Linked DNA regions of Caenorhabditis elegans. The protein of the gene in region 2 purifies or fractionates together with the protein of the main gene of each other region. This does not show direct contact. Each region holds a gene or a part of one and is shown on either strand. Other genes may lie near its edges. The genes, in order: B0280.9, krr-1 and mppa-1.

The links.
Region 1: the proteins of krr-1 (region 2) and B0280.9 fractionate together in Caenorhabditis elegans (co-fractionation; one large-scale study listed by BioGRID). This does not show direct contact.
Region 3: the proteins of krr-1 (region 2) and mppa-1 fractionate together in Caenorhabditis elegans (co-fractionation; one large-scale study listed by BioGRID). This does not show direct contact.

Annotation. Positions count from the first base shown.
Region 1 is NC_003281.10:7,117,988-7,126,269, reverse strand, and holds B0280.9 (U3 small nucleolar RNA-associated protein 18 homolog), read left to right. Parts: upstream 1-3,374; 5' UTR 3,375-3,378; coding exon 3,379-3,534; intron 3,535-3,639; coding exon 3,640-3,715; intron 3,716-3,761; coding exon 3,762-3,970; intron 3,971-4,018; coding exon 4,019-4,199; intron 4,200-4,250; coding exon 4,251-4,351; intron 4,352-4,408; coding exon 4,409-4,502; intron 4,503-4,549; coding exon 4,550-4,682; intron 4,683-4,920; coding exon 4,921-5,260; 3' UTR 5,261-5,365; downstream 5,366-8,282. Other genes in the region: B0280.2 (uncharacterized protein), read right to left, coding at 37-183, 249-436, 830-963, 1,009-1,100, 1,324-1,416, 1,503-1,583; rpia-1 (Probable-ribose 5-phosphate isomerase), read right to left, coding at 2,112-2,411, 2,536-2,778, 2,826-2,978, 3,026-3,085. UniProt on the Caenorhabditis elegans protein: Involved in nucleolar processing of pre-18S ribosomal RNA.
Region 2 is NC_003283.11:7,226,730-7,234,591, forward strand, and holds krr-1 (KRR1 small subunit processome component), read left to right. Parts: upstream 1-4,460; coding exon 4,461-4,616; intron 4,617-4,815; coding exon 4,816-5,282; intron 5,283-5,332; coding exon 5,333-5,644; intron 5,645-5,702; coding exon 5,703-5,880; 3' UTR 5,881-6,007; downstream 6,008-7,862. Other genes in the region: gei-6 (GEX Interacting protein), read right to left, coding at 1-105, 811-1,474, 1,528-2,115, 2,163-3,200, 3,247-3,630, 3,677-3,791, 3,836-3,994, 4,042-4,116; C05C8.5 (Exonuclease domain-containing protein), read right to left, coding at 6,008-6,287, 6,335-6,906, 6,955-7,255, 7,313-7,587, 7,632-7,762, 7,808-7,862.
Region 3 is NC_003279.8:1,746,701-1,755,718, forward strand, and holds the start of mppa-1 (Mitochondrial-processing peptidase subunit alpha), read right to left. Parts: upstream 4,356-9,018; coding exon 4,035-4,355; intron 1,996-4,034; coding exon 1,587-1,995; intron 1-1,586. Other genes in the region: Y71G12B.10 (hydroxymethylglutaryl-CoA lyase), read left to right, coding at 4,793-4,885, 4,947-5,159, 5,904-6,237, 7,299-7,615; lin-65 (uncharacterized protein), read left to right, coding at 8,630-8,762. UniProt on the Caenorhabditis elegans protein: Substrate recognition and binding subunit of the essential mitochondrial processing protease (MPP), which cleaves the mitochondrial sequence off newly imported precursors proteins.

The DNA.
Region 1 (8,282 bases), on a different chromosome or scaffold from region 2:
TCTTATTTGTCGACTTTTGTCAATTTTCGGATTCACTTTACTTGTTTTGACTTTATCCTTATTTTTGTCCTTAACTTCTTTCACAGTTTGAGATTCTTTTTTCACCATCAATGATTGTCTAATATGATCTTCATTTCTTACAATCAATTGCTTCACAATTTCCTCTTCTTCTGGATTATTCACCTGAAATTTCAACGTAGTCTTGGCAATAGAGGTTTGGAAAACTATACATTCAATTTACTCCTAACTTGCATATACAAATCTTCTTGTACATCTGTCAACTTCACACCATCAACATGCCGAAAATCTGTTGGTGCTTCAATTTCAACTTGTTTTCTTGGTTCCCTGTGGGATTTGAATGGATCATGAAAGAAACTACTTTTCTTCTTCGTCTTTCCCTCCAATGCTGGCTGCTTTGCTTTATCGGTACTTCTCGCTGAAATTTAAGGCTTGTGTATTATAGCCCCATATTTTGAAAATAAATTAGTAATTGTTGTATTTTCCCATTTATTAAAAATGTGAATATCATTTTCGAATAGTAAGCCTAAGAATCTATATATAAAAGTCACATTCAAAATCTAAAAAGATAAATTTTACAAATGTGGGGTTATCATACACAAGTACCGATTTAGGGTTCTATCTTGCATATATTAGAACTCAAGTTACCGTATTCTACCTATTTCTGTAATAAAAGCAAAGATAGACGGAAATATAAACATTACCCTATTATTATTGAACTCAAAAATTGATTTAAGAAATAGTATTGTACATAATAAAAATATGGAAAAAGCGATATTTTTCCAACTAGTTTAATAATCGAATTACTCACTTTGTCGTTTGCAAACACTATTGTGAAAGTTCTCACATTCCTTTGAGTCGTAAAAGTTCAATCCAATGTATCTGGATTCTGCCTCAAAAACGAGTAACCTTGCATGTTCCTGCATTGTTTCAAACTTTTTGTCTCTATAATCATAGTGTTAGTTGAAATTAAATTATATTCAAGATTACCTAATAAGAAAATCAAATTGAACTGTTGGTTCCCAATCTGGATCTGCAGATGGTTCCATTACTATTATCCGGTAATATCGTTCCGTACTGTTCTGAAAAATTGAATTAATCGTCTGTTGAGTTTGAGTATTTCTTTGCAAAACTAAATTGGATTTTGCAAACAATCCTACTGCGACTCACTTCGAAAAAAGTATACATTTCTCATTTTGAAATAATTAATCTAGATTAATTGTTTGTTCTTCTAGTAGTTTTCATATGATAACATCTTTGCAGCTTTCTACCACAGTTCATCTTTTTAAAATTTATCGTACTTACTTTCAAAAACAATGCCACAGCGGTTCCCCCATTCGGTATCCGCCAATGCCCATTTTCAGAAAAAAGAAGTTGACAAATACCTGATGAAAGTATCTGAAATGAGCACAAGCTAGTTGAATTGAAACTACATTTGTCTTTAAGCAGAGACCGTGCCTATCTCTTAGTGCACAAAATCATACCTTATCGCTTGCCGATATTCCTCTTAGAACACTATTTTTTTCGTTGATCTCGAGGAAATCACTCAATTCAGATGTAATCATTTGGAAATTAAAATTTGAACAATCTGGAATGAATAGAATACGAATGATACGATTTGACGAAAGTGCTTTTTAATACAGCAATTGTTAAAAATTTTGAAATATTTACTTATTTCCCAACTTTATCAGTATTTTTGAAATTATTGCTCGCTCTTAATTTTACCGCCTCCAATGAGTCATTTAGGAAGCAAATTCTCATTTCTTTCAATCTTTAAGCTATCCTCGCCATTCATACACTTCAAGACTACTGTAATTTGAAATTAAACAGTTTCAGACACTTTACATCCAGACACTTTACATTTCAAAACGTTTTCAGAGTTTTCTAATTTTTTTTTCAGTTTTTTAAGAAAGACGTTTTTTCAACACAATTTTTATTGGGGCTATTCTAAGAACTACACGTATACTAGGAACATTGGGAATGAATGGGTACAATTTTCACAACAACTGGGAAGAGGAAAAGTGAAGTTTGGAGAGTGTGGTGGTGATAAGAAACAACTAATTTTCAATATGAACAAAATTCGATGCAAGTAGTCAGTGCTTCTTGGAATTGACAATTTCCTTGACAGATCCGTCAGAGTACGCGAAGAATACTGCGTCGACGCAACCGATGAATAATCCGGTTTCAACAATTCCTGGTGTATTGGCCAATCGTTGCTGAATCGCGAACCAATCTCTTCCGGATACGTTTTTCTCGAACTGCCAATCAATAATGAAGTTTCCATTGTCTGTCACAATTGGTCCGCACTTTTTGACAGCTTGTCGAAGTTGACAGCTTCCACCTTCAGCGCGTGGAATCGAACGTAGAAGTGGTTGAGCAGCAAGAGGTAGAACCTGCAATAAATCTCATTAAAAACAGTCAACATAACTACATCTATTTAGAAAAAACTATTGTTCTAAAGTTTATTCTTTAGTGCATCTTTCTTTACTGATAATTATAAAAAGTTAAATAATTTACCTCAATTGGGACATTCGGATAGCGATCACCCAAGTGTTTGGAATCTTTTAAATAATCAGCGATCACGTAAAAGTTTTTTGCAGCGGTTTGAACAATTTTTTCTTGAGCCAGACATCCACCTCCGCCTTTGATGCACGTGAACTGTCCGTCAACTTCATCAGCTCCATCAATACACACATCCAGTTCTGGATGTGAATCCAAATCGGAGACAGGGAGACCAGACTCAATCAGCCATTGTTTTGTCTGAAATACTTATTTATAACAATTGGGTTTGTTGAAAATCTGTTTACCAAAAAACTGGTTGGAACACAGATGATATCCTTGAGACTTCCATTCTGAAATCCTTGTTTAAGATATTCTACCAAATACTTGACAGTGCTTCCGGATCCAACACCAAGACGGCAACCACTTTGCACATATTTTTCACCGCAGGCAAACGCAGCCTGAAATGATTAATGAGGGTTGGAATTGGTCTTAATTTTTGACTTACTCGTTTCTTCGCCTGCTCAATAGGAGCCAGTTCTGCTTCAGGGCCGGTGGAGGTGACCATTCTGGCGGTTCGCAATACTCCTGATAATGGAAATTTTGTAGAAAACATACAAAAATGCTGAAAAGAAAACGAAAACAATAGTAAATTGATAAGAAAGACTGAAATTTTCAGCTGAAATACTGAAATTAATGAAATTCTGCATTGAGACGTGACGGTGTTTGCACTAAAACTACGATAACACACACTATTTGACGACAATTGCTTCTCATTTTTCTTTTTTCTTTTCCGAATTTTCTTTAATTTTCAGCTTATTGAATCTTTCATTAAGGTTATTTTGAACAATTTTCAGAGAAATGAGCAAACGGCCAGTGATTGAGTCTGAAAAGCCTGCGTGGCACGATGAGGACGACGATAATATGGTTGTGGCGGTTCCAAAAAAAGTGAAAATGACAATGCGAGTTGAACTCAAGCGAACCACAGACGAAGAACATGGAGAATTGGATTCAAAGGTAAATTTTTTTTAGAAATACGTTATTCAACGTGTAATAAAGATTATATAATTGAAAATAGGCAGAAGGATAAATTACTTCTGAAAAATAATTTTAATATTTTAGGAATACGTTGGTAGATTGCAAGAGGCGTTCAGAAAACGCCACGGAGGCACACCAAAATGGGCTAAGGCTGCTGCAGGTTTTTGGAAAATCAATAGTTCAAAAATCGTATTTTACAATTTTAGGAGACGAAGAAGAAGGGTCATTGTTGAAAACTGCTGCCGGATATTTGGCGAAAGACGTGAATTTACCAAAAACAACTATTCATACAACTCTTATAAAAGATTTCAACATCGGACACCGATACACTCGTGGAATCACTGTTGTTAAATTTCATAAAACCCGACCAGTGCTCATTGTTGCCGATCAAGGTGGAAATGTTCAACTTTTTAAAGTAAGTTGTGTTTTCTGTTTTAATTAAACCATTCCTTACTTATTTCAGGTAAGTCGTGAGGTTAAAAAGGATCGTTTCCTTCAAAGTGCGAATTTCTCAAAATTCCCGATTGATAGTCTGGAAATTGCTGATAAAGGACACTCTGTGATCTGTTCTTCAAGCCGAAAGGAATATTTGATGCAGTACAATATGGAAACAAGAGAAGTGACACAGTTGAAACCTCCAAACAGTACGTTTAATATTTAATAAAATTTGAAGCAAAACTTTGAACATTTTACAGCAGTACCAAAGCAAGGAATTCGGCTCTTTGCCATTTCGCATGACTCTCAATTTTTGGCAATTGCAGGACACAATTCTCACATCTATGTTCTCCATGCTACTGTATGTCAAAAAATTAAATTATTGGCAAATTAAAAGTTTAAATGTAAAATGTTTCAGTCGATGGAGCATATCACAACAATATCACTCCCAGCAAATGCGTCAGAAATCAAGTTTTTCCCATCGCACAGCCGTGAAATTTGGATCATCTGCGGTTGGTTTTATATTGCCAAAAATTCAAAAATTATTCGAAATTTCTAGAGACCGGCCAAATTGTGATCGCAAACATTGGATTGCCGGGAACCAAATCATCGCAACATACATTCACCGACGATGGAGCTGTGCACGGAACAACACTCGCCATCAGCCAACATGGAGATTACTTTGCGACTGGGTAAGCTTTTTTAAAATCAAACTTTTATAATTCGTAAAATCACGATACTGTCATTCATTCATATAATTCATATATTAATATAATTGTACAGTTTGCTACATCTTTTTTTTTGTTGATATTTTCAGTTTAGCAACAAAAATTTAAAAAAAAAAATCTTTTTTTGTTGAATTCCGGTGAAAATAAATGACCTAGTCTTTACATACATCCTGATTATATGATGAAAATTTGAAATTTCCAGAAGTGATACCGGAATCGTGAATGTCTATTCTGGAAATGATTGCCGCAATTCTACAAATCCTCGTCCACTTTTCAATGTTTCTAATCTCGTCACCGCGGTCTCATCAATCGCTTTCAATTCTGATGCTCAATTGATGGCAATTTGTTCAAATGTCAAGGACAATCATCTTCGTCTCGTCCACGTGGCAAGTCAGACAACATTCAAAAACTTCCCGGAAAGAAACGGAAAAGTGACACATGCAAGATGTGTGGAGTTTTCTCCAAATGGAGGATATATGGCCGTTGGAAACGATGATGGACGTCTTCATGTTTTTGAAATTCATCATTTTACAGACTATTAATTGGTTCTAACATTGTTATTCTTTTCTTTGTCGTTGATTTCGTCCAAATTGTTTTGTTTTTATTCTTCATCCGTTTTTTTGTTGTTATGAAAATTTATCGTTTTTATTCCAACTTCCAGAGCAGCTTTTGAACCACTGGAAGATTTAAAAATACAAACCGACGTTTGCACAAAAAATTCAAAAACAGTTGAACGTAGTCCTAGTCTGTACCGAAAAATGACTTGATCGTTCTTTGTACACTATAGTGACATAGAATTGTCTCAATAGTCGCCAGTTAGAAAAGGGTTGAACAACACAACGAACGATCGAAAATGACGAAAAATTAACAATGAATGTCAGTTTTTCACGTGAAGTCTGGTAGAATTAGTATAAGAGGAACAAGAAAAGTTTAATTTGTTTCTCCAAAGTCCGTTTTTCGGCAGATTTTTCACTGGAGCACAATAACCAATGGTCTCTTACCGACCTACTTGTCACCCGATTTTATTGTGTTTTGATGTCTTAATTCTAGAATTGTGATCGTTGATTATTTGATTGAGAGGAAAACGAATTCAGATTTCTTATCGAAAAACCTACAATTATAACTTTTCCGATCTGTCAATTTGGCCATTTTTTAATTATTTTTTTTGAAGATTAAAAAAAGTTACCGTTTATTCTCTATTAGTGCGGCATCCCCATTGTTCAACTTTGACATCTCATATCTCGGTCATCTCTTGATTTCAGCCAAAAAACTTTAGCTAAAATGCTTATTAAATCTTTTTCTATGCCTAATGTTTTTGAAATGTACAAAATCACCCAAAACCTTCGAGATATATGCAAGTTGAGCTATGTGGGTGCAGCACTGAAAGAGAATATACGATATATTACCATTTTCAGATAAAATCAACTGTTTAAAACTACATCGAATTAACAAATCTGTAAAAAATGTAACGGTCATTATGACTGAGATCGTGGCGAGACCCACTCAAAAAACAGTGTGTGTCTTTAAACTGATGACGGAAAGAAATTTCGTGAAATTATGTCCTCAGTATTGAAACTTGGCACTCAGAAGATTGTTGCTTTTATAAACTCAGTTCCACAAATTTTTTGGCGCCTGTACATAACGACGGAAAAACTGAAATCAAAATACACGTGCCTTCAAAGTACCTTCTCCAGATTTCAGCTTCCACACGATAATTGTTTTTCGAATAGAAGCTACGTATAAAGCCAAATGTTGATGTAATGCCCGCCTGATTATTATCATTGTAAAGTCCACTTCCTCTAGTAATACGACGATATCACAAAACTAACAATTATCATGAAAAATATGTTCTTTCTATAAGTCAGTTAAAAAATTTATTAAAGACTCAATTTAAAATATCAATTAAGATGTCAATGTTTTGGATTTAGGAACTAGAGATTAAAATTATTTATTTTCTAATGTATAGAGTTTATAAAGTCGACAGGCAGGCACAAAAACTAGTTACAAGACATGTGTAACTTTTATTCATTTTCCAATTTTCGATTGTATCACAAGTCTTTGACTAACTAAGTAAGAAGTAATATCATTTTTGGAAATCTTTCTCTGATTCCACCTGAATATTATCATTGCGACGAGTTATAATTCATGAATCTTCTATATTTACTCCTCAACAAATGTGACTCGTCTTGATCTTTAACTTGAGTGTTGAGCTGGATATCGTCGGATTTGAATAAGATAAGTGGGCGAAAAAATGATACGACATTTTTATTTAATTTATATTCCGAAGTGGTATAGTCAGAGCCTTTTCAAATTTTATGTTTTTTGAACGCAAATATCTGGAAAAATGTTATTAATATATCCAATTGAAATCAATTTTTGATCACAACCGATAGTATCTTTACATACACAAAACACAAATTCTTAGACATAGAAAACAGTTTTTAAGATGCAACCTACATTCTATCAATCAATTTTATAGTTTTTTATAAAAATTCTGACTTCGGAGATTGTATCTTTTTAATGACAGGTGGCTACAAGTATTTGTTTGTTTAACTATAAGGAGAGAGAGTATACTGCATTTATTCCTTGGTTAAAATCCAATAGAAGCATATCTTTATGTATTTCATTAAAGTTTCAAGTTGAAACGTCAACTAATGAAACATTTTCAGGTGTGTATAGAAATAGGGAAGGTGTGAGCCATCCAGTGAGCAATTAACATTTTTGAGCCTACGTGGAGCTCTTTCTCCTGTGTATATTTGGAGCATGTTGACTTTTCGCATAGGACCAAATTTAATTAATTGTTTAAAATATTCGTCAAGGTAAGACGTCAAGTCATTTATTAAATTGTAGTGCACAAAAAGCCGTACTTCTGACTCATGTGTTCAACGTCAGATGAAAATAAATGCTCATTCAACCAAAGATTAGCTCGTTAGAAAAGTTCAGCGATCATAAGAGTTCATTAAGACTGCAAGTTCCAAAGAATCAGAGAGAAATGTCTGGCTTCTCTCTTTTTTTCCTTGATATTTCAGTGAGTCTCTTTGTGTTTCTACTTTGATTCAGGTATCTACAAGATATTTTAGTTTTATTTTTGTCTCGGTGTAGACACAAACGCGCATTCAATTCTAACAGGATTAAAAGAGCAATGCTGTAATATCTGGATTTCTGATCTTTTGGGAGGTATCTGTTTGAAATCAGATTCAACTTTTTGAGCAACTCTTCGTCTATTTAGATACTATTATTGGTACTTGTGTATTACATGCCCTCATTTTTTGAGTAATTTTTAAAGTTAAAAACAATAAAAACGTGTACCACATTTTTGTATTTCTAGGCTTAGGAAATATCCTTTTCTAAGCCTGAAGAGGAAAAATGTTTATCACGTTTATTTTAATTGGAGAAATTAATGAAAATTAAAATGAAGGCATGTAATACACAAGTACCCTATTATTTCCTTTTTCGGAGCGATTTTTGGTCGTTTCTAAGACATATTCGCCCAGATATCATGTTTCTTATTCACTCGTTTTCATGAATATTATATTTTACAAATTTTTGTTTTGTTAGATATTT
Region 2 (7,862 bases):
CGCGGAGGCATCGGACGTGGTCCACTCATCGCAAAATTGTCCTGTATAGGAACTTTTCCGAATGGAGTATCTTGAGCTCGATGCCATGGTAGGTCGGAGAAGCTGCTAAAATTGAAATTGGATATTAAAACTGAATAACTTATGGTTTGGAATTCATCTGATGGGTATTTTGCCCTAAATGACAGAGAACATTCTCACTGCATCGAATATAAATAACTGTTAAAAAATTTGTACATTTTTAATGATTTCTCCAATTTTGAAAAAAATAAGAAGGGATGAATTATTTCTGAATTACATGAGTGGCATAATTTTCGACATTTTTGCGTTTTTCGGCCATACTGATTGGTTTTTCTTCATTTTTTAAATTTTATAATATAAATTTTATAAAAACATAATTTATCAATTTTTAGACATTTTTCCGCACAAAAGTGTTTCAAATATAAATTATCGAATTTCAGGCTAATTTTAAAGTTTCAGCGAATTTATTTCGAATTTTCACGTTTTCTTTACGGAAAAATGTTTGACAACTGACAAATAAAGTTTCATATTATAAAAAATCAGTATCGCCTGAAAACGCGAAAATGACGTCACTCATTTGCGAAGAGAATTCAAAAAAATGGTTCAGCACTTTAAATTTTTTACAAAATTGATAAAATCATTTTTAAAAATTTAGAAAAGTTGAATCTTTTAAAGTATTGCTCGATTTTTTATTTTTTTTTCTGCGATATTTCTGAACTTTAGAATATTTTTAGAATTTTAAAGACTTTTCAAATTATGAAATAAATTGGTTTTTGTAATTAAAAAACGTACTTATTTGAACGTGAACCACTTGGCCCAGACGGAGAATCGCTCCAAGGCCTGTCCATACCCAAATCCATTTGGAAACCTCGATTCTGATTCGATTGTATTCCATATTGTTGCTGAGGTTGTTGACGCCATGGCGACTGATTTGATGGAGGTGGTGATGGTTGTCGGGATCTTTGCCAGGGAGGAGCTTGTGAATTACCAGTACGATTGACGGGTCTCATATTTGGTTTCTTATTTGGAGAGCCATTGAACTTATTCTGCTTCTGAGCTGGAGTATTTGGCTTATTCGGATTTTGAGCCGGCGATGCTTTGACAGTGGGAGTCGTTGATTCTGCTGGCTTTATCTTTTTCATCATCTCTTCTTTTTCTTTTTCCTTCACACTGTCATCTAGTTTTTCCATTCCCAATCCTGGTATTTCACCGGACTCGTCACTTTTCTGAGACAATCCGAGAGCTGGAGCAAATTCGGCTTGTGGAGGTTTTTCACTAAGTTTCGGAATCTTTTTCAAATTAGTGAACCTGCCGACACTTGTACTGGCGGGGCCTGGGGTAGACGATGACGAAGGTGTAGAAGCGGCAGACACCATTTTGTTTGGCGGAACAGAATTTGACGTTTTTGCTTTTTTGGGTGGAGTCGCAGTAACACCGGACGGAGCAGGATTTGGCTCTGAAATAAATAAATAAATAATTTTCCAGTTAATAAATCTGAAAAAAACTTACTTTTCTGTACCTCTGCGGCTTCCTCTACGACGCGTTTTCTTGTACTCATTACTCGGTTCATCTCTTCCAAATAAGATTTCGAGTACGACGGAGTGCTTCCACCGCCACTAAAATTATCAGCTTGAACTTTAGAAAGAGCTTCAAATAGAGAATTAGAAGCAGCTGCTGAAGTGGATTTTGCCAGTTTTTCCCACGGATTCGGTTGAGAAGAAGGTGCAACCTTCGGCCTCTCTGATTCAGCATTCGGCGGTTTCAATGGAACTCCAAAAGCAGAAACCGATTTTGGAATGGAAGGCGCCGGAGCATTCAATTTTTCTTTCGGAATCCATGATTCAAAACCGGACGCGATTTGTGGCGGCGCCTTCTTTTCAACAATTTGTTGTATCAACGGCTTGGCGACAGCTTTCGGTGCAGGATTTAGTGTAGCTTGAGGAGATGAATGAGGTGGAGTGTCAACTATCTCCCCATCTTCCGGAGGAGAAACCCTTTCAGGATCATTCGGTGTACACGCCACGCTTCTCGGTGTTGTTATACTTTTAGGCGTTGCAGCGATTTCAGCGATTTTGTCCAGCAGCTCTTTATCCTTTTCTGAAAATTAAATATTTTGAAATTTAAATAATTAGAAAAATAATAACCTTTCAAAGTATGAGTCAATTTTATGACATCTTTCTTGTAGCGTTCCGCATATGCTTTCCAAGAATCACGTTCGTATTTTATCGAATCACAATCTTTACCCAATTTCTGTGCAGCAGACTCGAATAACGCGGCTCTCTCCACCGCATCATTCCTTTCCTGATTTGCCCGTGCACATTTTTCAGTCATTTCAGCCACTTCCATCGTCATTTTTTTGCGTATCTTCTCGACAGTTTTGCAGCGAGTACACGTCTCGTTATCCGCCAGAAAAAGTCGATCATTCAAGTTCTTCACAGCAGTTTCCGCCTGTTCGATGGCTTTATTTTGTTCTTTTTTGCATACATCTCTTGCTCGCAGATAGAATTCAGCTCGATCCTTCTCATATGTTAGTTCTTGTTGGAGGAACTCAACTTTTGCCAGCAGAGCGCTGTACTCCAATTTCTGATCTTCTGCGTTTTTTTGCATCTGTTGCTTATAAGCTTCATATGTCCTTGTCTGGCTTTTTATTACTGCTACAACCTCGGCTTCATGAGCTTTGAATTCTTCTTTTCTCTCAACCAAATCAGCACGAATATTTCGGAAACTGTCGGAAAATTCGAGTCGAGTAGACCTTCCGAAGTCTTTCAACGTTTTCACTGCCAACAGACTTTTCTCCTCGTTCTCTTCATATTTTAAAATTCGCTTCTCCTGCTCGCTAATCGTTCTAATCATAAGTAGAAACTTTTTCTTCAAAACCATTGGCATATCATTTAACCGAGCAGCAACCGGCTCTCCAAGGGCATCTCTGACAGTTGTATTGAAGCATTCCTTGAGATATGTTGATTTCAATAAGAGATCCGTATCGGTTTGGCAGCAAGTTTCCGCAGTTTTGGACACATGTGACGTTATAGGAGAACTTTTGAAAAATTCAGAAGTATGTGTTGGCTTTGTTGATACACTCGAAATCGTCGCAGCTCTTGGTGAGATTTTTATGGGTCGACCTCTCTTTTTGTCGATTGGTGTGACAGTTGGCGTATTTCTTAATTTAGTTTCTCTCGGACCTGAAAATAAAATATTTGGCAACAATATTCGAAAACTCGTACTTACGAGCATTTTCTTGGTCCTTTTTACTGATTTTCTCGGAACTCGTGGACTGAACTTGAGAGACTTTGGCTTTGCTCTTCTTCCGAGTTCCCCAATTGTTTTTCTTTGATTTTCCACCAAACGCATTTTTGGGTTTCTTTTTTGGGATGGTGGTTTTTTGTTCAGGTGTTTCCTCATCACCATCATCCTCATCGATGCCTTCATCATCTTCTTTAGCAATTTCTTCGTCCTTCTCATCCGAATTCCCATTAGTCGACGTGTCAGAATTGGAAACTCCCGAACCTTTTTCAGGTACTTGACATACACTATTTGAGCGTGAAGCGGATCTGGCTCTTTTCTGAGAACGAAGGAATTCAAGTCTTTCACTATTGGACAATATTCTTCCATCTGAAATTGTAATTTTAAATTTTCTATAAAAGTATCGTGTCTCTACCTTCATTCACAAACGAAAATACTCCTCTGACTTTCTTGGAGGACATTCCAAAAAAAGTTTTGCAATTACTGCAATAGCTTTTGAAGATATCCTCTGTTTTGCCGCCACTCGCTGGCTGAAATTTTTCCAATTTGTTTTAGCTTATCCTGTACAACCAACCTGGCGCTGCTTGAAAAACGATAGCGTAGCCAATACTGAACACGTATCGCATTTTACAGGATCAGTGGGCTTTAGTACTGACAACGAAGAAGTAGTCGAATCATTCGAGCTTTCATCAATTGGCGAATCATTATTCTCCGATGATGTTCCCTCGATTGGCTGAACAAGATTATAATGAAATTGAACGCAACAAAATAAAAAATTACGTCAATCTGATCAGTCGGATGCGCAGAAGGCAAGTATACGCTATGGTCCTCTGCTTCAGTTGTTGCGCCGTTCATTACCTGCCACTTATTTGTTTAAAAAAACAGGTAAAATAGACGCAAATTGAAACAAGATTTAACTTTCAGAATTATATAAAACACAAAAACAGTTAAAACATAAGAAAAGCCAGCAGAAGCAGTGTAAATTCCGCACAGAAAAATTAATCGACAAACCAGTGGGCGGAGCGTGAAGCAGGAGTCGCAACCCCCGCGCACTTTTTATGCAATGCTGCCGCACGAATTCCTCTCTCAGTTTTTGTTCCCTTTTTCTTCATTTTTAATCAATTTCTTCTGATTTTTTTTGTATATAACTTTATTTTATTTTGTATAAAACATTAAATATTAATTAAAAATAATTTAAGATGAGCAACGTTGACAAAAAAGCTAAACCTCGTGGAGAATACGAGCCCGAATGGGCTGGTGAACCGGAGGAAGAGAAGAAGACGCGGAAAGAGACTGCAAAAATGTTCGGACCACAGAAAGATGCAGAGTGGTGGGATATTAACACTTTCAGCAAGGTATGTTTTTGATATTGTATTCTAAATAAATATATTTCGATTTTTGAAGTTACCTGCTAAATTTACTTAAAACTAATTTTAAAATCTCCAAAACACTAAATATTTTCTGAAAAATTAAATGTTAAGCAATGAAAAAAGTTGGTTCCATGTAATTTTTCTCTTGTAGTATGAACCTGAAGAAAATGAATACATTTTTCAGGAAGACAATCCGAATGGTCTACTCCAAGAGTCATCATTTTCTTCATTATTCCCCAAATATCGCGAAAAGTATATTAAAGAAAGTTGGCCACTCATCGAAAAAGCTCTAGGAGAGCATTTCCTGAAAGCAGATTTGGATCTCCTCGAGGGAACAATGTGTGTCCGAACTACTCGTAAAACTTGGGATCCTTATATAATCATGAAGGCTCGCGAGGTCATCAAGCTTCTATCCCGTAGTGTGCCTTATGAACAAGCGATTCGTGTTCTCGAAGATGAAATCTATTGCGAGATTATCAAAATCTCTTCAATGGTTCGCAATAAAGAACGATTTGTGAAGCGTAGAGCTCGGCTAATTGGAAACGATGGTGCTACCTTGAAAGCTCTCGAATTGCTGACACAGTGCTATGTTTGTGTTCAAGGAGGAACTGTTTGTGCTGTTGGACCGCTTGCTGGACTGAAACAAATCAAGTGAGTTGAAAATATATTCTGACTCTCTTTGAAATCATAAAAAATTTCAGTCAAATCGTCACTGATTGTATGAAAAATATTCACCCAATCTACAATATTAAAACTATGATGATCAAAAGGGAATTATCTAAAAATGATGAATTGAAAGATGCAAACTGGGATGCTTATCTTCCAAACTACCGAAAGAAGGTTCAATCTGCAACTACAACAAAGGAAGCAAAGAAGAAGAAGGCTTACAAGATGAAGCCCAAGAAGGAGTTCACTCCGTTCCCACCGGCTCCAGTTATGAGCAAGATTGACAAGCAGATTGAAAGCGGAGAATATTTTATTCGCGAGAACGAAAGAAAGATGAACAAAAAGAGGTAAGTATTCTTAATTCAAAAATCGTAACGGAATTTAATAAATTTATGAAATTTTCAGAGCGAAATTGGAAGCATCGGCGGTGAAGACTGTGGAAAAACAGAAGCAAAAGTTGAAAGTGTATCAAGCAAAAGAGGAAGCTCCGCGAGAAAAACAGAACAAGAAGCGACCGAACGACGCGCCGATCGATTTGGAAAAGCTGAAAAAGAAGGCAAAGCTCAGTAAAGCCGCCAAGTAAATTTTATGATTTCACTGTTTCGTTTCTTTGTTATCAATGTTGTTGTTTTGTTGGAAATTGAAGTTTAAATTAAACCAAATTTTATTTGTTATTCATTTTATGAGAAACTTAATATTAAAAAAAAAGATTATTTGACTCTTACATAGAGCACGTTTTTAGTGGAATTAGACAAGATCATCATAATCAGTGAGTTTTTAGCCGTGGCGGCAACCAGTTTTTCAAGAATCCGATTCAGTGCCTCCGCGTTGTCAGGAACTTCTCCTTGCTCTGAATCAGTTTCTTCCAATGGTTCTATTTTTTCTTTGTCAATCTCCACGAGGATTACACTGTCATTGAGCATTTCAGAAGCTACACTGTTGACGAATCCATTATAGGAGGGAAAAGAGGAATGAAGTTTTGAGCGGACCCTGAAATAAATTAGGTACTTAAACTTTATTATTTTTAAATATCTTACTTTTTTGATATGGGAGGACAGTCGAGAATAGCAGTATCGAAAGCACACATCACAGATTTCATTTTATCCTTTTTCAAATAATTCCCGATTGGAGATGCTTTCTTTTCATGATCCACATCAAGTGTATCCTGCCAATGAAAATCTCCTTGGGCACTTATCCCGATCTTCACACAATGCACACATTTCGAAGGAGTCGATACAAATCTGCATCTGCAATTGGCAACTGTGCAAGCAACAACTGTTGGCTGAGAGCAATCAGTACACGGTTTTGATGTGATTTCAGCAGCCGTGACAATTTTCTTCTCAACTGCTCCATTGTTTTTTGCGTATTCAGAATATTTCCATCCGAAGCTCACGTTCCCGAACATCAATCCTTTTTCGAGTTTCAGCTGAGCGAGGCGCATCGCTGCCCACGCATCTTCATACGAGCAATGACCGAATTCTGATTGAATTTGTGCTCCGAGAAAGAGTTCCGTCAAATTTTTGAGACTATTTCGGAATTCTGTGTTGCTATTCGTATAGTTGAGAACATGACCAACGTCGAGACAAAATGGATGTGTCATTTTCATTGCCTGTAATTGGTTTCAATAAAATAGGAAATAAACTGAAAATTCGAATACCTGTAGATCGTGCTCTAATGAGTGTCCAACAAGAATTGCATCCGGCGGTAACAAGCTCTGAATAGCTTTTTGAACATCTCCAAGAGTCGTCGTTACTCCTTCCATCATATCCGGTGTAATTCCAGACCATCGCGTCACATAATCTGTGATTCGACCTTCTGGTTTCACAAGAGTATCTAGAATCGTATTCTCGAATTCATCCACTATCGATATTCGTGTAAGTTCTCGATTCGCAACGTCTGTTTCACACATCTCACAGTCAACAGAAAACATTGGAGATGAAGCTGATATTTTTTTATATCTGAAATTTTAAATAAAACTTAATCTGCACTGAAAACAAGTAATATCGCTAATTTACCCTTGTTTAGTGGGTACAACACCTTCTTCACCAGGAAATGGGTAGCGTCGTTGAGCCAATTGTTCAGTTGTGAGCACAAAATGCGATTTATCGTGTTTTCCGTCTCTATCATAAGTTTTTTGCATTATGACAGACTTTCTCCGAATCTGTTCCTGAATAGTAAGCCGGACTTGCATAATGCTGTTCCAGAACAATCCACGATCACTGACATCTGAATCCAACTCTATCCATTGCTTTTCAAAGAATTCACTAAGAAAGCTTAGATTCGTTGTCGTCTGTAATGATTTCAGCGATTTAGGTTTTCAATGCAATCCCTTACGAAAAAATCGTCATCCACATTGACACGAACCACTAGGTTCTGAAGGACATTTCTATGATGGGATAGACTGACCCATCTGGGCTTTTGGAGTGATGATCCAAATATGCTGAAGTGAATAAACTGAGCCAGAGCTGGAAAACTATGCGAAAATTGTGGATTTTAAAGTGGATTATTACTTTCGCAGTCTAATCGATGGCCATCACCTAGTCGGGACAGCCTTAACTCTAATTT
Region 3 (9,018 bases), on a different chromosome or scaffold from region 2:
TTTTGGTTGGTGTAGGGATATGGTCGGGGTACTGTAGGGGTACTGTAGGGGACCTGTAGGGGTACTGTAGGAGTACTGTAGGATTACTGTAGTTTTGGAAAAAAAAATTGATTTTTCTCTTTTGGAGGGATATGGGTTTCCGGTTAGTCGGGGGATAAGGTCGGGGTACTGTAGAGGTACTGTAGGATTACTGTAGTTTTGGAAAAAAAAATGATTTTTTGTCTTCTGAAGAGGTTTTGTATTTTGGTTGGTGTAGGGATATGGTCGGGGTACTGTAGGGGTACTGTAGGGGACCTGTAGGGGTACTGTAGGAGTACTGTAGGATTACTGTAGTTTTGGAAAAAAAAATTGATTTTTCTCTTTTGGAGGGATATGGGTTTCCGGTTGGTCGGGGGATAAGGTCGGGGTACTGTAGTAGTACTGTAGAGGTACTGTAGGATTACTGTAGTTTTGGAAAAAAAAATGGTTTTTTGTCTTCTGAAGAGGTTTTGTATTTTGGTTGGTGTAGGGATATGGTCGGGGTACTGTAGGGGTACTGTAGGGGACCTGTAGGGGTACTGTAGGAGTACTGTAGGATTACTGTAGTTTTGGAAAAAAAAATTGATTTTTCTCTTTTGGAGGGATATGGGTTTCCGGTTGGTCGGGGGATAAGGTCGGGGTACTGTAGTAGTACTGTAGGATTACTGTAGTTTTGGAAAAAAAAGAAGATTTTTTGTCTTCTGAAGCGGTTTTGTTTTTTGGTTCGGTAGAGGGATATCGTCGGGGCACTGTAGGGGTACTGTAGAGCTACTATAAGAGTACTGTAGGATTACTGTAGTTTTGGAAAAAAATTGATTTTTCTCTTTTGGAGGGATATGGGTTTCCGGTTAGTCGGGGGATAAGGTCGGGGTACTGTAGTAGTACTGTAGTAGTACTGTAGAGGTACTGTAGAGCTACTATAAGAGTACTGTAGGATTACTGTAGTTTTGGAAAAAATTGATTTTTCTCTTTTGGAGGGATATAGCTTTCCGGTTAGTCGGGGAATATGGTCGGGGTACTGTAGGGGTAACGTAGAGGTACTGTAGGAGTAGCTTTGGAAAAATTGATTTTTTGTCTTTTGAAGAGATATTGGTTTCGGTTCAGTGTAGGGATATGGTCGGGGTACTGTGGTAGTACTGTAAAGGTACTGTAGAATTACTGTAGTTTTGGAAAAAAAGACTTTTCGTCTTTTGAATGGATTTTGGCTTGGGTTCAGTGGAGGGATATGGTGGGGGTACTGTAGGAGTACTGTAGGATTATTGTAGTTTTGGAAAAAGTTGATTTTTTGTCTTTTGAAGCGGTTTTGTTTTTTGGTTAGTGGAGGGATATGGTCGGGGTACTGTAGGATTACTGTAAGTCAAGTACTGTAACTTTAAGGTTTTTACAGTACTTGTAAGGTACTGTAAGAATTTTTTAATTATAAAATTTTCCGAAAAGGTTTTTTTTTTGAAAAAGCTCAATTTTTCCATATTTTCTCTAATTTTCAACGGTTTTTTTTGTACATTTTTTTTGCGATTTTTCAACAAAAAAAAATCGAAACCTCTCCTCGTGAAGTACAACACAATTACCTCCAACAACCATTCTTTGAGGAGTATGAGCTCTGCTCAAAAACCCATAAACATCAGAAACTCGAATTTTATCCATCGAATTGTTGCCAAATTTCGGATATCCTATAGTATTATTCTGAAAAGCCGCTTGATGAATCCAGTCAGTAAGGAGAATTTCGATGGCTTCAATTCGATTCGGTAGATCTTGATTCTCGTAGGAAACTGTTAGTTTCGCCTGTTCGAGACTTTGTTCGTCAAAAATTGGCTTCCAAATAGTGTCGGATAGTACGTGAATTACAGAATCCACTCCGTCACGATGGCAGCTCGCCGCGTACATCATTGTGTCACGTGTACTCTGACAATCCACAATTCCACTGTTTTCCTCGAGTTTTGCAAAGACTTCGTCGCGGCTTGAGAACGATTCCGATGACTGGAAATTTTGCAATTTTTTTTGGGAAAAATTAGTTTTAACAAATTTTCGAGTTTCAAAAAAAAACTATTTTGGAAATTTTTAAAATTAAAAAAAACCTTACAATTAAAGGAGGACTAACGGTTCGGACGATTTTGAACGTATAGACCCAAAATGTTCTCAAATGAACGAATTTCGTGATGAAACTGCTCAAAAATTTTTCAAAAATTTTTTATGGCGGTTCAAAATTTCGAAAAAATTACACTGATTTTAGCTAAAATCTCGAATTTTGCCTATTTTTCGGTGTCACATCGGTCCGAAGTTGACTTTTTCGGAATTATCATCCTTTATTGCATATATTGGTAGTTTATCTCATTTAATTTTGTTGATTAAGGTACAATTAAAGCCGATCGGTAACCAATTTCGACGATTTTTGGTCACCTATCGGCTTTAAATGTACCTTAATCAACAAAATTAAATGAGATAAACTACCAATATATGCAATAAAGGATGATAATTCCGAAAAAGTCAACTTCGGACTGATGTGACACCGAAAAATAGGCAAAATTCGAGATTTTAGCTAAAATCAGTGTAATTTTTTCGAAATTTTGAACCGCCATAAAAAATTTTATCCGTTAGTCCACCTTTAAGTTATTCTTGAAACTATATATATATGATATATACTATGTATACTGGATATATAGTATGTATATATATTATGTATATAACGAATTTTTCCTAAACTACCGTAACCCTACAGTACTCCTACCGTACCACTATTGTACTACTACAGTAACCCGACTATATATGTTTCAAGAATTTCTTAATTGTAAGGGTTTTTTTTTGAAACATTTCAATTTTTCCGTATTTTCAGATATTTTCTCATGGATATATATATATATATATTTATTTATTTTTGTGAAAAATTAGTTTTTTATTGGAAATTTTTGGTTTGTGGGGGCAAATTTGGCTCTGTAGGGTTTTTTTTTCGAAAAAATTACAAAACTTGAGTTTTCTCGGGTCATTTTTGGATTAATTTTTACCCCCGTTCTCCAAAAAACAAAAACACCCAAAAAATGCGTAGAAATTCAAAATTTTCTTTTCAAAAAATTAAACTTCAAAAACAGAAATTTGCAACAAAAATTTTAGAAAAAAATAGGAATTTCTACTGAAAAAACTAAATTTTCCAAAAAAATAACTTTTAAAAAACTTGGTTGAGTAGCGAAATCTGTGGAAATATTTTTAATTTACTCCAAATTTTCCCCTGATTCCGAATATCTATGTGAAAAAAATTAAAATTCAAAAAAATTCCCCTGATTTTATATTGAAGCTTGAAATCGCCGAATTTCATTTGTACTTCGAAAACACTTTTTTAAATTCGCGCCCAAAAATATTCGCATGGAGCGCGCTTTGATTTTCTTCATTTGAATATTTTCTTCATTTTTCGCCGAGTTCAGTTTTTTTAAAAACCAGTTTCATTAATTTTTGTCGAATCTGTATCGGTTTTTCTAAGAAAAAATATTTTTCGACAAAAATTAATGAAACTGGTTTTTAAAAAAACTGAACTCGGCGAAAAATAAATAAATTATTTAAATGAAGACAATCAAAGCGCGCTCCAATGCGAATATTTTTGGGCGCGAATTTAAAAAAAGTGTTTCCGAGGTACAAATGAAATTCGGCGATTTCAAGCTTAAATATAAAATCAGGGAAATTTTTTTGAATTTTTTCACATTGATATTCGGAATCAGGGGAAAATTTGGAGTCAATTAAAAATATTTCCACAGATTTTGGTACTCAACCAAGTTTTTAAAAAGTTATTTTTTTGAAAATTTAGCTTTTTCAGTAGAAATTCCTGTTTTTTTTTAAATTTTTGTTGCAAATTTCTGTTTTAAGTTTGTTTTTTAACGTATTTTTTGAGTTTTATTGGTTTTTGGAGAACGGGTAAAAATTAATCCGAAACTGGCCCGAGAAAACTCAAATTTCGTCATTTTTTCCCGATTTGCATCATATTTTTCTCTAATTTTTCCAATTTTCCATAATTTTTCCTATCAAAAGCCTACATTATAAGCAAGTTTCTCCACAATTCTCGAAATTCCAAACGGAAAACCATTTTCATAGCGGCAGCCGCTCTCAATCGCGACGCCAACAGTCACAAAATCGCCGTAAGTGTCTTCTGTGCAAACTTTCAGGCCGTTCGGAAGTCTAGTAACCCTCGAGTTTCTTCCCATTGGCGGGCATCCTTTTTCTATTGATTTGGAGTTGTTTTCCATTGGCAGAGGCACGGAGAGCGGGAGTTTCTGCGCAATTTCCTTGTTATTTCGGACGGAAGCGCTTATATCTCGGCATATTTTGATGTAGGGGATGCTTTTCCGAAGGAGCATCTGAAAATTTAATGTATTTTTGATAAATTTCGAGTAAAAAACTGAAAAAATCGAGAAAAATAAATAAAAAATGATTAAATAAATAAATGTGTGCAATTTGTCGTCAAATGTGGTGTGCGGTGTTTGCGGACTTTTGGGATTCGAATAAAAATTATTTATTTTTTATCTATTTTTTATGTTTTTCTTTGATTTTTCTTTGATTTTTAGCTGAAATTATTGGATTTTTATTGATTTTTATTGTTTAAACGATAAATATTGATACTTTACAGTAAAAAACCGCAGAAAATATCGAAAAATCTCAATAATTTTTTTCTTTTAGTTTCTCATTGTTTCCATCAGTTTTTAGGAGCAATTCATATGTTTTCTTCTGCTTTACCGCTCGAATTTTAATGTTTATGGAGAAAACCTTATTTTTATATTTTTAGGCGCGCTAAAAAATGCTGCCCAATCGCCTACTGGCCAACCGTGCCTACTCCACAGCAATAAATCGATTTCGTGTGGTGGAAGTTGGCGCGCGAGACGGTTTACAGGTAATTTATCCTGGAAAATTGCAAAATAATTGCAAAAAATCCATTATTTTCTTAATTTCAGGCCGAAAAGAAGTTCGTTCCCACCGAAATCAAGGTCGAGCTCATCGATCGGCTCTCAGAGTGCGGATTTCAAACGGTAGAGACGACAAGCTTCGTCTCACCGAAATGGGTGCCCCAGTTGGCTGATCACAACGAAATTGTCAAGAAACATCGGAGATTTGAAGGTGTCTCCTACCCGGTTCTGGTTCCAAACGCCGCTGGCCTCAAAAACGCGGTATTTTATTGATTTTTTAGGGCTTAAAGGTGGAGTAGCGCTAGTGGGGATGACCGAATATCATAGTAAAAAAATTCAAAAAATTTTTCTAAATTTTATATGATTTTTTGAAAATTGAAAAAATCTCAGTTTTTGCCTAATTCCTATTTGAATTTCCGCCAATTGGATTTGTTCGATGGAGCGCGCTTGCACGTTTTTAAATTTATTTATTTTTGTTATTTTCCACCAATTTTTAATGTTTTCGGTGTATTTTTGCTCGAATTTTAGAGAAAAAGCCAAGATAAATGCAAATTTTCGATTAAAAAGCACGCTGACAGGCGTAAAAATGACAAAGTAACGCTTTTAAATGATTTCGAACCTGAATTAATTAATTTCACTGATTTACGCCTGTCAGCGTGCTTTTTAATCGAAAATTTGAATTTATCTTGGCTTTTTCTCTAAAATTCGAGCAAAAATACACTGAAAACATTAAAAATCGGTGGAAAATAACAAAAAATAAAATAAATAAATTTAAAAACGTGCAAGCGCGCTCCATCGAACAAATCCAATTGGCGGAAATTCAAATAGGAATTAGGCAAAAACTGAGATTTTTTCAATTTTCAAAAAATCATATAAAATTTTGAAATTTTTTTAAAAATTTTTAATCATGATATTCGGTCATTGTGGTACCATAGGCATGTTTTAAAGCAATTTCCCCACTAGCGCTACTCCACCTTTAAAATTGCAAATTTCTCAAGTTTCCAGCTCGCAACAGGAGTCGTCGAAGAGATTGCCGTATTTGGAGCAGCTTCAGACGCGTTTTCACTGAAAAATGTGAATTCCAATGTGGAAGATAGTCTGAAAAAGCTCATGGAAGTCACAAAAATCGCCCTCGAGAACAATATTCGAGTACGTGGCTACGTTTCAGTCGTCGTTGGATGCCCGTATCAGGGAGCTGTACAGCCGGAAATGGTGGCCAGAGTCGCCGAGAAGCTTCTAGAATCTGGGTGTTATGAGGTCTCGCTGGGCGACACTATTGGCGTTGGAACAGTGAAAACTGTGTCGAAAATGCTGGATACGGTGCTGAAAAGTGTGCCAGGTAGCGGATTTTTTTAAATATTTTATATTAAAATTTCGATTTTTCGAGTGAAAAACTACAAAAAAAGTAGTTTCCCGCAGTTTTCCCGGCTTTTTTCGCATGAAAACCAATCGATTTCAGTCAAATAACTCACGAAACGATAAAAATCTCAATTTTCGTTGCGAGACCCACAATCTGTGGAGAAATTGACCGAATATCGTGATAAAAAAATTCAAAATTTTTTTCTAGACTATATGATTTTTTTTTGAAAATTGAAAAATCTCAGTTTTTACATAATTATATTTGAATTTTCGCCTATTGGATTTGACCGATGGAGCGCGCTTGCATTATTTTAATCAATTAATTTTATTTATTCTCATTATTCGACTGATTTTCTTCTTTTCTGTTTTTTTTTTGTTGGAAAATGAAAGAAATAAAAAAGACAGATGCAAAATTTTTGTTAAAAAATAACTGAAAATGCCTTAAACTGTAATTTTTTTTGAATTCTGACGACGACAAACCTGAAATTAGTATATTTCACAGTTTTACAAAATATATTTTTATTTATAAAACTGTAAAATATACTAATTTCAGGCTTGCCGTCGTCAGAATTCAAAAAAAATACAGTTTTAGGCATTTTCAGTTACTTTTTAACAAACATTTTGCATATGTCTTTTTTATTTCTTTCATTTTCCAACAAAAAAAAACAGAAGAAATGAAGAAATTCAGTCGAATAATGAGAATAAATAAAATTAATTAATTCCAATAATGCAAGCGCGCTCCATCGGTCAAATCCGATTGGCGGTAATTCAAATAGGAATTAGGGGAAAACTGAGATTTTTTCAATTATCAAAAAAAAATCTTATAAAATCTAGAAAAAATTTTTTGAATTTTTTTATCATGATATTCGGTCAATTTCCCCACAGATTGTGGGTCTCGCAGCGAAAATTGAGATTTTTATCGTTTTTTGAGTTATTTCAATGAAAAATCGATTGATTTTCAGGCGAAAAAAGTCGGGAAAACTGTGAAAAAAAATTATTTTCGAAAGAAAAAAAAATTTCAAAAAATCACCACCATTTCAGCCGAAAAACTCGCAGTTCATTTCCACGACACATACGGTCAAGCTCTCGCAAATGTGCTCATTTCCATCGAAAAAGGCATCCGAAGTGCGGATTCAAGTATCGCAGGGCTCGGTGGTTGCCCATATGCGAAAGGAGCAACTGGAAATCTTGCAACTGAAGATTTATTGTATTTTTTGAAAGGAAACGGTTTTGAAACTGGTGTCAATTTGGACAAAGTTGTCGAAACTGCAAAATGGTTTAATGAAGCCGCCGGATATGATAAATGGTCGAGAGTTGGAGCTGCAATGATGGCTAAAAAGAGCAAAAGCTGCTGCTGAAAATGTGTGCTGTAAAAAATTTAAAAAAATTTTTAAAAATTCGTGTAAAAATTACCCCGGTTGTTTAGGAAATAATAAAGAGATTAGAGACTTTTTTCAGATTTTTATTTTCTTGAGTTTTGCCGGTTTTCAGCCGATTTCTATCTTTTTTTTCTCATTTTTTGTGATTTTTTTTCGCTAGTTTTCCCCTCAATTTCTCGATTTTTTCACGATTTTTTGAAAATTTTCGGAAAATTGAATTGTTTGCAAAAAAAAAAATTCAAAAACCGCATTTTTCTCAGAATTTTTCTGGGATTTTGTACAAATTTTTGAATTATTTCTCAAAAAAAAGCAGGTTTTTACCGATTTTTTTGGTTTTTTCCCCAAAATTTTCCGATTTTTTCCGAGTTTTGCCGGTTTTCAGCCGAATTCTACTCTCGATTTTTTTACGATTTTTTGGAAATTTTCGGAAAATTATTTGAAAAAAAATCAAAAAACCGCATTTTTTTTTCTGAATTTTCTGGGATTTTGTACGAAATTTTGAAATTTTTCTCGAAAAAAGCAAGTTATTCCCCAAAATTTTCTGATTTTCCCCCAAAAATTTAGATTTTTCCCGAGTTTTCCCCAGTTCTCAGCTGATTTCTATATTTTTTTCTCAATTTTTGTGATTTTTTGTTGCTAGTTTTCCCTTCAATTCCTCGAGTTTTTCACGATTTTTTGGAGATTTTCGAAAAATTGTTTGAAAAAAATCAAGAAACCACATTTTTCTCTGGATTTTCTCGAAATTTGCACAAAATTTTTGAATTTTTTCGTAAAAAAAAACTGTTTTCCCCAAAAATTTCAGATTTGTTTTTGATTTTTTTCGAGATTTTCCCCTGATTTCAAAGTTTTTTCCTGAATTTTTCGAATATTTCCTGAAAAATCGGCTATTTCTAACTTTTTAAATAATTTTTTTTGAATTTCTGACTTTTTAAATCCTTTTTTTTTTGCCATTTTTTCCCATCTAAAATTCTAAATTATTCAAAATTTTACAGAATGTCAGAAGTAATCGACGAAAGTATCTTAAATACAGAAGCTTCAGATGATCCAATACCTCCATTAAATGATGATCAGATTGCTGAGCTTTTGGGTGAAGATGGAGAAATTATGGAGATAACTGAGCAGAAAGGTGAGATTTTTTGAGTAAAACCTTGAATTTTGCACTAAAAATTTGCAATTTTCGCTAAAAATTACCTTAAAACTCGAAAATTGGAATTTCTAGCTGAGAAAATGGCCAAAAATGTCGAAAAATGCCTCCGAAACCTGTGAAAAAAAAAACCACCAAAAAGGTTTCTAGGCCACCAAAAAGATTTCTAGGCCACCAAAAATGTTTCTAGGCCACCAAAAATGTTTCTAGGCCACCAAAAATGTTTCTAGGCCACCAA